Saccharomyces cerevisiae S288C: one gene and its partner. The gene in region 1 interacts genetically with each later gene. Each region holds a gene or a part of one and is shown on either strand. Other genes may lie near its edges.

Region 1 (5,560 bases):
GCCCCGTGAAATATCATCGTGTTGTCCGAACGATACAGGGGACACCTCCTCATCATTATCACATTCGAACACTTCCTCATCACTAAATTTCCCTTTAGGTACAAATACAAATCAATTCCACCAACCAAGGCAGCCAGTACAACAGCAACAGTCTTCGAAACCAAACTTTGGTGCTGGGAGGAAAAAATCTTTCATTGAGATGTCACTAGCAAGTTCCTTTGCAGGCTAACATTCTCGCCACCTTGGAATAACCGTATGATGTTCAACTTTGTTATTTATTTCCACATTCTGGATCGCCATCTGTTCGTTTTTATTAAATATAATATATACCCATTTGTATCTCCTGTTTGGTTTCCAAATTTCCATATACTTATCGCTGTCTATCATCTCCTCTCGAAGCATTTTTTTATATACTATATTATGAGAAATCTTTCTGAAAAATTATGAATTACTTTTTTCTGCTGATAGTACAACCCGCTATATACTGTTACAAGTAGTGAATAAAGAAGTAAAAAAAAAAAAACTTTCAAAGGAAAGAATATGAAGTGAACATTTTTTTCTACGATTAAGATCCCCCTGTTTCTTTTTTCTTTTTGAACCATCTTGTCAGCTTACGGGAATTTTGTTCTTTAGGAACATCTGCGTTAGGAGGTTTCCTCATTATCCTAGATAACTTTGTCGGGGAAAATCTATTCCCCAAGTTACCTTTACCTTGCGAGTTTGGAAGCGTCAAGTAATCATCCTTGGCTCCATTTTCCGATGATGTTCCATGTACCGATGTTTTGTTGCTACTCTTGGGATTCTCATCACTTACATCAATAGTCAAAAATTTACAGTAACTATCTCCAACTGTGTTATTGGATTTACTAGAGACACCTTTTGTGAAGAATTTCTGCAATCTTGCGGAAGAGTTTTCATTTGTTGGTTTATTTAGTAGTTTAAGAACAATTTCTTTTCCCTCCTTTATTTCTTCATAAAAAATTTTATGTGAGAGTGAAATGGAGTATTTTTTGTCTTCAAACAAAGTGCTGGAAGCACATTCATAACCTGACAACCGTTTTCTAATATGATTAATCCTATTATAGAGTAAACATGACTCTTGCTCCAATTCTTTCATTGCATGCTTTTCCTCTTCTGCTTTCGGGATTATAGAATTAAATTTGATGCCTGAATTAGCGCCATTATCCAAATCTCTGCTTCTGGAACCTACATCATCGCTTTTCAGTAGGTTCATTAAATCATCTCCGAAGATCTCCGTGTTGTTTTCAGTTATTTTCTCAAATTCTAACTCTCCAATTTCTGGCTTAACCTCAATTGGTGAATCCAAATCTTTTTTATCCACAGACAAATTTAGGCTGCTACCGCTTAACAGGCCCTCCTCTTCGATTAATTCTCCCTTCCCACCATTATCCATGTGATTGTATTTTTCCATCTTGGTCATATCTTCCTGACTGAAATTAACAATCAAGTTAACAAACTCAGTTTCTCTCAAATTCTTATCAAGCAGATAAGGAATCTGAGGCAAATCATCCAACATCGTTTGTTCAATGGCCAATTTGGGTCTCGAAATAGTAGAACTTAGGTTCAATATCTTTGAATTAAAATCTAGTTTCTTTTGCGTCATTTTATCAATGTAATCTAATAAGTCATTGTGTCTTTTATCGATAAAGTTATTCATCTTCATTAGCCAGGGCTCTTTGTTTGCAAACTGCGTCAAAGTGGACAGATTAAGTAAAACTTTACTTATTAGGGTAAGATTCCTTCTTGCTGTTTCGTTTAAATTTTGAGAAACATATTTGAATAGCTTAGGGTTTAATATGACTGGACAAAAAAACCTTAAAAACAATAATCCTGATATACCATTCAAAATTATTTGCAAAGTGTCATCGATACAAATTATCTCTAGTTTTTGCCTAAAGATTTTTAAAACATTTCTTATTTCAATCGGCAGGTCATTACTCGTTGCATACAGCCTTTTCCAAATCTTCGTAACCCAAGAATACAATCGTTTGTAGTTGTCGGCAATTATTTTCCTCTTTTTTACTTCATCTTTTTCTTTTACTCTAGCAGGATCCAATTCACATGATTTGTTTGACTCAATGATCTCTTTTAGTATTGCACTAAGCGCTTTACTCAAATATTCATTACCCACTCTGAAAAAGTACTGTTCAATCGACTTTGTTAAGATAGAGTTACCACGGAATAAACTGTTGAAAACATGCTTTGAGTCTAAATTTTTCTGGTTTATTCTTGAAACCGTTCCATCAATTTTAGCCAATTCTTTGTCTATAAGGACGTGGAACCATTCTTCTATTCTTGACAAAGATTGGAATATATCGAGAAAAATTATGGATGTTTGCGTCAATTTGTTATCATTCTCCATTGATGAAGAAGATTTGTAAATTAGATTGGAAACCATGGACAAGTTTGCGTTCATCAAAAGTTTTTCCAATTTAACGAAATTGGTTGACGGTAAAATGAAGTTCAAATTTGAAGAAATTTTAATACAGATTGTTCCTATTTGAAAATTTTTGTTATCAACGTCCATGATGGGTAGTCTTGTTTCCTTATTATATCTTGTATCATTTATTATTTCTTGTGTGATTTTTATTTTGCCTATCAATCGTAACCGTTTTTTATTATTGAGATCGTGGAATAACTGCTTGATTTCCAGATAAGAATTAGTAAGTCTTAAAAGTTCATTGAACTGAAACTCTTCTCTCCAAAATGGATTAGAGGAGTTTGAAACCATGGATGTTCTAGCCCATGTATGGCCCCAGGCCGTTATGTCTGTGAATATTGACCATGGCGTATTATTCTTGTCATTTAAATTGATTGACTGAAAATTAGCTTCCAGTATGGAAATTTTAAAGCTATTCGATATCTTCATATCATTTGATTTATCTGAGCCAGTAATAGATAAGTATTCCGACCTAGCGAACGATTGTAACGCTATAAAACAATCCTCCAGGTCTATTCTTAAGGGAAACTCTACAATAATTTCTTGAGAAATATCACTAGAGTTGGTGGCAGCACTGGCAATATTTTCTATGCGAAACTTTTCGAGGCCCAACTGGCTCCTTAGTAATGGCAATTCACCTAAAAACAAACTGTTTTCACTTTGTAAAACAGATGAATCCAGAATTCTTATCTCTGATCTTAAAAGCTGGCTAATATTCAATGAGTAAATCAGAGAGCCGTCACTCTGTAAAAGAAGATCTAGCATGCCGTTTGATTTAAGCACCCCCATAGCGGAAAACCAACCTACGCTGTTGTCATCATTATTAATTATATCAGGGCTTTCTAAAATATTTGTTGCTGGCGGAAGGACGATGTTCTTAACGATGGGCCCAAAAACATTCAATTTGTAAACCAGCAAACTTTCTGGTTTCGCCATTTTTTTGCTTTTAAATTCTAGAGGTCGCGATACTTGAAACTTATTAAATATACCATTTGTCTTCATTGAGCTCCACCAGATCAGACATGTTAGCAATTTCTTGAAATCACTCCAACTTTTAACTCGCAGGTAAACTTTATTATCTTTACCTGAGGTGTTTACTTGGATTATAAAATTACAATTTGCATTAATATCCTTAAAAGAGGAATGCTTATCCTTAATAATCTCGATTCTACATTGCTGTAGATGTTTGATAATTGGCTGAATATTAGTAGAGTCTGCTGTTAACTCATCGATTGAGTGGGTTAGTGCACCTGTACTGGTAATTTGCAGATAGTGTGTCTTCCAGTCGTTTAAGGACAGGTTATTACACCACTGAATCTCACCCTTAAAGGTATTCTTGTAATGCTTAACGTTGGACAAAAATTCATTCAATTTGAAATATGATGTTCGACTTTGGGCCGGTTCATTGTTGGAGCTCATAATATGATACAATCAAAGATAAACACCACGACGTATGCACGGATAAAGTTTTCAGTCTGACCGAGTAGTTATTCCTACTATTTTGTTGTTTCTTCCTCCGTTTTCATAAATGGCGTTTGTTTGGATACCTTTCTTTTTTATCGAACAGAACGCGTTCAAGAATGAAAGTCATTAATTATTATTAGATACAGAGATATACATATTATAGAGTATGCATGCTATATTCACGGAAAGCTACGACGAAGGCCTGTATCATAGTTAGCTGGTAACAGTAAATTTACCAAAAATGTTGGGAATTTCACCTTCTGGTCCGATGTATCTAGGGTCTCTCCAGGGACCAATATCGGAATAGTAGAACTTATCATTAGGGTTGTGCAAGACAGATGTACCACCATATTTAACAGGCAAGTTCTCGATTGGAATTTGTTTTAATAATTCCTTTTTATAAGAAGAGCCAAGAATAAAGATTTTTGACACGGTTACTGGATCCAAGAAGGGTTTAACCATCTTGAACATCGTCGAGAAACCAAATGGACTGTGTATAATATAAAACTTACCCATTCTTTCAGGATAATAATTTTGACTGATATCTGCAACATCTTTAATATAGGAAAGCACATGATAAGCATTAGAAAGTGAGATACCCTTCAAGTCCAGCACAGTGCACGAAGTTTCAATAAGGTAGCCAGCTCTTCTCGAACACGCTGGGACCCGGTACGTGGCAAATAATTCGTACTCCTTGACTAAGTTTCTTAGCATCTGTTTTTCGGTAGTGATCTTGTACATTTTCTTTAAGTTAATTCCTCCTAGTTCTTCGAAGTACAATGGTCTCCCATCCTTATCAACGTGATGGTAATACTGAGGGTACATTTTGGCCAATTTGATTCTTTCTTTGTCTTCGGCTTCCTTGTTGTTTTCATAATCCTCGATAATAGTGTTGGCACCGTATTCTTCCCTCCATCGTTCAGTTTCTACAAACATCTCAACGCTAGCATTGATATCAAATTTCCTTGCCCGTAGAAATCGCAATAGCGTAGAATCATCCAGCCTTTCTTTGTAATTCTTTTCTAACAAGATTGACCTAAATTGCAAAAGCGCTTCCTCTTGCTCCTTAGTCAAATTGCCGGGAGTACCTGGCAAAGCATTGGGGGAGCATATTTGAGGATAAGTATCGAGTATGCTGGTTGTCATTCTTCCTTTCCAGTTTTAACAGTGCGCAAATGTATTGCTTTTCAGATTTATTTCCCCGTTATACAAGTTCAAGGAAATGTTTGAGTAGAGAGAATCACGATCTAAATAATAATCCGAAGAATTTAAAAAGGAGTAAATAGGGGCATACAAGAGGGGGAATTTCAGAAGTGCCTGTTATGTAAAAAAGATATGATAACACATAATGGATTGCATACCAGTAAATTTCCATATGTACTATGCCGACCTCTTTTCATGTAAACGCCTTGCAAATTCATACTTAATGATTACAAGAAAGTAATATGTAAATTTTAAGCTCAGGTTCAAGGTTTATAAGGGCCTTCGTCTCTGATAGAAGAATCAAGTTGGTAAATCCAAATGGAAGTACGGGTCCCAATAGCAGGTTTGATTTTTGAAGGTGACTCGAGATATATCAGCTGCCGCCCCTGAATCAGCAGTAATTATAACTGAAGAGAACGGACAATGTTTTAC
Region 2 (4,733 bases), on another chromosome or scaffold:
CATTGTGTGCAAATTCAGCAGACGCCGTAGCCAGACTAATAACGAACTACTGCGAGCCTTATAATGTATCAAACGCTCAAAATGGGCAGAAAAATAACTTAAGCTCAAAGATAAGTTTGATAAAGCAGTCCATCAGAAAAAATGTACTTGTGGTTCTAACGAAATATATACAGTTGTCTATTACGACGCAGTTCAGTTTAAACATAAAAAAGAGTCTGCAGCCCGGTATTCATGCGATTTTTGATATATTATCTCAGAACGAGTTGAATCAATTGAACGCTTTCCTTGACACACCTGGGAAACAATATTTCAAAGCACTTTACCTCCAATACAAAAAGGTTGGTAAATGGCGCGAAGATTAACTTATGTGTTTTAGTGTGTTTTCAAAAGGCATTTCTCTGCTCACGTTTAATAACAGGGTGACGGAGCTTAAACAAGTAAAAATTGATAAAAGTCTGTATCATATAATTTTGAATAATCTATACTAGCGCCTTAAAAATTACATAAATGTCTAATCATATAACGTTACCATTTCGATTAGTGGTAAACCTTTTGATTATGAAATGGATAACTGACCAACATCTTCTATCAAGTGCTTCATTATATGTAAATTTCGCACCGTGAACTTCTCGATACTTAATTCTTTTGAACCTCAAAATATCTTTAGCAGTGACCAACCCCTTTAAAATTCCACTTTCCTCTACGATGATAGTCTTACAACCTAGCTCTTTAAACATACGGAATAACAATGTTACTGGCACCGCCTTCTTCACCGAGATTGGAGATTCATTCATAATATCCTTAAATCCGATGCAGTTTTCACGATGTCCCAACTCTTCGTTAGACTTATTGAAGTATACCAGTGTCGTTTGAGCTTTGGTGCTATTTACGCTTTGCATCATGATTTTACTGGCTAAGTGCCTTTTTAAAACATAGCCAATACATCTTTTTTCCTTCTCAAACTTATCCTCATCCTTAGTTATTGGAAAACCATGCACAGAATATTCAGACGCTGAGTCGTACAACAAAGATTCAAGCTCGGAAAGGTAAATGGTTTCATTAATAGTAATTAATTTGGAGGACATGAGCTGCTCTGCAGTGTATTTTTCTAAGGTTTCCTCCTCTTCCTCGTCTTGCTCGTCTTCCAAATATGGGAATCCATTAACCATGATCATTTGATCAGCAATACCGCCAGAAATACCAGACGTGCTTAAAATTATCCTTGTTATTGCCACTACAATCATAAGGGGTATGATATACATGAAGGCGCCTGTTAGCTCGAACATTATTACCACCACAGTTAAAGTCAAGTTAGTTATCCCGCTCAAGGTAGCGGCTGCTCCCAGGAAGGCGTAGGCACCAGGAGTAATAACAGAAGGGCCACTTATAAATCTCTCTACCAGTAGACTTACTGCCCGTCCAAATGTGGCCCCAACCGCCATTGAAGGAACAAAGATTCCGGCAGGAACTCTGGCGCCATATGATACCACCACCAACAAGGCCCTGATAACAGTGGCAAAGCATAGGGAAGTAAAAATTTTTAAGAACTCAAAAGCGTGCGTATTTTCATCCAACTGACATAACCTATGACTAAAAGTTGAGGTGTTATCGTTCTTGACACATTCATGAAACAATATACCCATACTTTCTGTCATGTCTAATTTCAAGAACTCATTGAAGTAAGAAATCAAAGCAGTAAGCGTCGCCAAAAAAAGCACTTCTTGAACTGGCCATGAGGACAGGTACATTTTGCGAAAGTGAATAAAGTTGATGTTCCACTTACTAATATATTTTCCATATAAACCACCAAAGATTCCTAAGGCTATAAAGATCGGAATCTCTTGTACCTTCCAGTCTCTATCATATGTTACATTGAATAAAATAACTCTGCCATTCCTAAATGGATCAATGTACTTCAAAGTAGTTATTGCGACTAGGGCGACATAATAGGATTTCCATAAGGTAGAGGAGTTAAACCTATTCGCAGAAGCAATCTCTTCCAAACCAAAAAGGACACCACCAATAGGAGCACCAAAAGCAACCGCAACACCTGCTCCACTAGCTGCTGTGATATACTCATATTGCGATGAATACGTCAAAGTATCTCTTAGTAGCCATTTTGTGAGTAAGTACCCACAACAGGTTGCATAATGAACTGAGGGCCCTTCTTTACCTACGCTTAATCCCGAAGAAATAGCCAAAGGAAGGGCAACACTTTTAATGACTAATGTTAAGAAACCCAAAAATTCCTTATTGTATTCAAAACCTGATACCCATACCTTAATCTCTGAGATTCCTGAACCAGTAGCCATAGGAGCAACATATTTGACTAACAGTGTACTAATTAGAGCAAATAAGACTGACAAAAGCATGAAAATTATAAAAGGGGACACATGTCCCTTCCAGGCAATCCAAAGCCCTTGTGCCTCGCATTCAAACTCTTGTCTTTTCAGTAGTAAATTGCTTGTAGAGGTAACCTCATTAACCACGCCGTTACAACAGAAGGATTTATTAAGTAGCCAGTTCCTCTGACAATGACCTGTTTTCCAGTTAACCAGAGTTTCCGTGAAGACTTGTAGGAAACCAGCAATACATCCAATAACTATGGCCGTAGAGCTTAATGTGATAAATGTTTTTGCACGGTCCCATATAACCTCTCGGTAATGTCGATATTTTGAATTAAGGAACTCCCTGTCCGAGTCTACAGACAGTGGTCTATTTTCCTCAGCAATCTTATCAATTGTAACAAATTGGTCAAAATTTTGCGTTTCTGGAATATTGGTGAATCGATTGGTGTCAATGACATCTTCACCATCCCCAATTGGTTGATTTATTGGCACATAAGTTGTTGGCATTAGTGTCAAATAATTTTATAGTATGCAAGATCAACATTCACCGCCCTTTCTATACGGTGTGCTTTTATGAAGACTGGAGAACAGGCGGTGCTTTTCCTTTTTTTATGGGTTCGAAATCGCGACATTTCTGTCCTTAATAAGTGAAAATCATATAAATCTATTTACTAATAATGATAGCCAATGTGAAGTGTTTCTTAAGAAACACGTAAAAGGCTCTTAAGAAATCTTTGAACTACAAAACCGATCTTATTTGAAATGTGTGATAAGTATCATTTTTCGGACAGCATTCGGTCCTACGGTCATGGCCATATTATAGCGTGTATTTAACAATGACTTTTGCTAAACGAAGAACAAACAAAAACAACACCGCTTCAAGAATTTTACTTGAAAACTATACTAAAAAAGGAAAGTAAATTTGTAAGTGTATATATCATAACGTAGACACTAAATTTCAGATATTACAGTGTGATCATCCATTTGAGGATCGAGGAAGCCCAGGAACTTTTGAACCGACCGCTTTGCGAAGACAGCTTTCTTTTCTGATAAGATATGTAATGAGATATCTGACTCTTCATGCAGGATTCCGATCACATAACAACCGTTAGACAAGGTACTTACTAAGAATAAGGGCATAAATGTAGATTCGCCTAAAAACGTGCTCATTCTGGAATCAGTAGTTCTTACAGAGTTGATGGTTGTAACTTGCTCAGCAACATGGTACACTCTTTCGTCTATTTCTTCCTCACCATCAAGTTTTAAACTAAATAACGTGAGCTTTTGATCACCGTACGAAATTAGTAGATACCTAATATTCTTGAAAGTTATAGCGGCTGCACCGGTAAACATTTTCCCGGTGTCGGTAATGCTATTGATGAGGTCCCTCTCAAATAAATTCAGAGGCTGTACCTGCAATTGAACCTTTTCTATGTTACCGTCTGTTGTATGGATGACATTGAACCTCATCACACCTTTCCGTACATCAAGTAAAATCATTTCTTCCAAATAAACCCATGTACCTATATTTTGCTGCTTCCTAGCCATCTTTGCCTTCCTTTTATCAAAAAATATAGATGATGTTATTGTAATACCAGAAATATTCAACCTATTTGAAACCTGTTCAATACTGAACTTGTTATCATGAACTGAATAGTTCAGTTGATAAGCTTGCACAAACTCCCCATAAACCAAAACACATCCATTGTAATAGTTATGTAACCCACTGATTGAGAACCCCGTGTTAATCCCAAAAACAAATTCAATAAAACCCGATTCCTCATCAAATGAAAACAATAATAGGTTATTCATATTTTTACTATCAATACCGTCTATTGAGTCTAAATTTAGAGACACCAAGATACATGAATTGAAAATCACTTCCTTATACAGCTCAGAAGTCTTTCTTTTTCCTAATGTTTCGGTTCTTTTGAGCATGGGTACGGCAATAATATCTGATATCATAGCGTTTTCATATTTTATACTCTCGATATCATTGTTGAGGTTAGAAAAATTGAATGCGGAAATGTTTTTGAACTGTTTAATATCATACACATAAATTTCGGAATACTTGTCCTGCAATGGATTTGCTACTGGCAGGGCCGCTACAATCACATATCTTGATGAAGATTCCAAAGTTATAAATTTGAGACATGTTTTTAAAACTTTTTCAAACTTAGAACAAAGAGTAGCCCTTCCGGCATCACCAGGAACAAGTACGTCGTAAAATTGACCTTGAGAAGTAACCATAACAACTGAGCCATCTTTTTCTCCAGGTATCAAACAGCTTATAGGACATGGTGCATATACTTCTTGGATTTTAAATCTACCTTTTATTTTACTTGGCTTGAAAAAAATTATAGTATCGGCTGTATATATAAAAAA

Evidence for each region.
Region 2: mutations in BUD2 (region 1) and GEF1 together harm fitness more than expected from each alone (negative genetic interaction), as found in Saccharomyces cerevisiae (2 studies listed by BioGRID).

The regions. Positions count from the first base shown.
Region 1 is NC_001143.9:265,580-271,139, forward strand, and holds BUD2 (GTPase-activating protein BUD2), read right to left. Parts: upstream 3,881-5,560; coding exon 566-3,880; downstream 1-565. Other genes in the region: MBR1 (Mbr1p), read left to right, coding at 1-229; YKL091C (phosphatidylinositol/phosphatidylcholine-binding protein), read right to left, coding at 4,139-5,071. UniProt on the Saccharomyces cerevisiae protein: Stimulates the GTPase activity of BUD1/RSR1. Participates in the regulation of bud-site selection.
Region 2 is NC_001142.9:505,868-510,600, reverse strand, and holds GEF1 (Gef1p), read right to left. Parts: upstream 2,856-4,733; coding exon 516-2,855; downstream 1-515. Other genes in the region: ribosome biogenesis protein URB2, read left to right, coding at 1-362; MLO127 (Mlo127p), read right to left, coding at 3,300-4,733. UniProt on the Saccharomyces cerevisiae protein: Anion/proton exchange transporter involved in iron and copper cation homeostasis. Involved in intracellular iron metabolism during growth on fermentable and non fermentable carbon sources.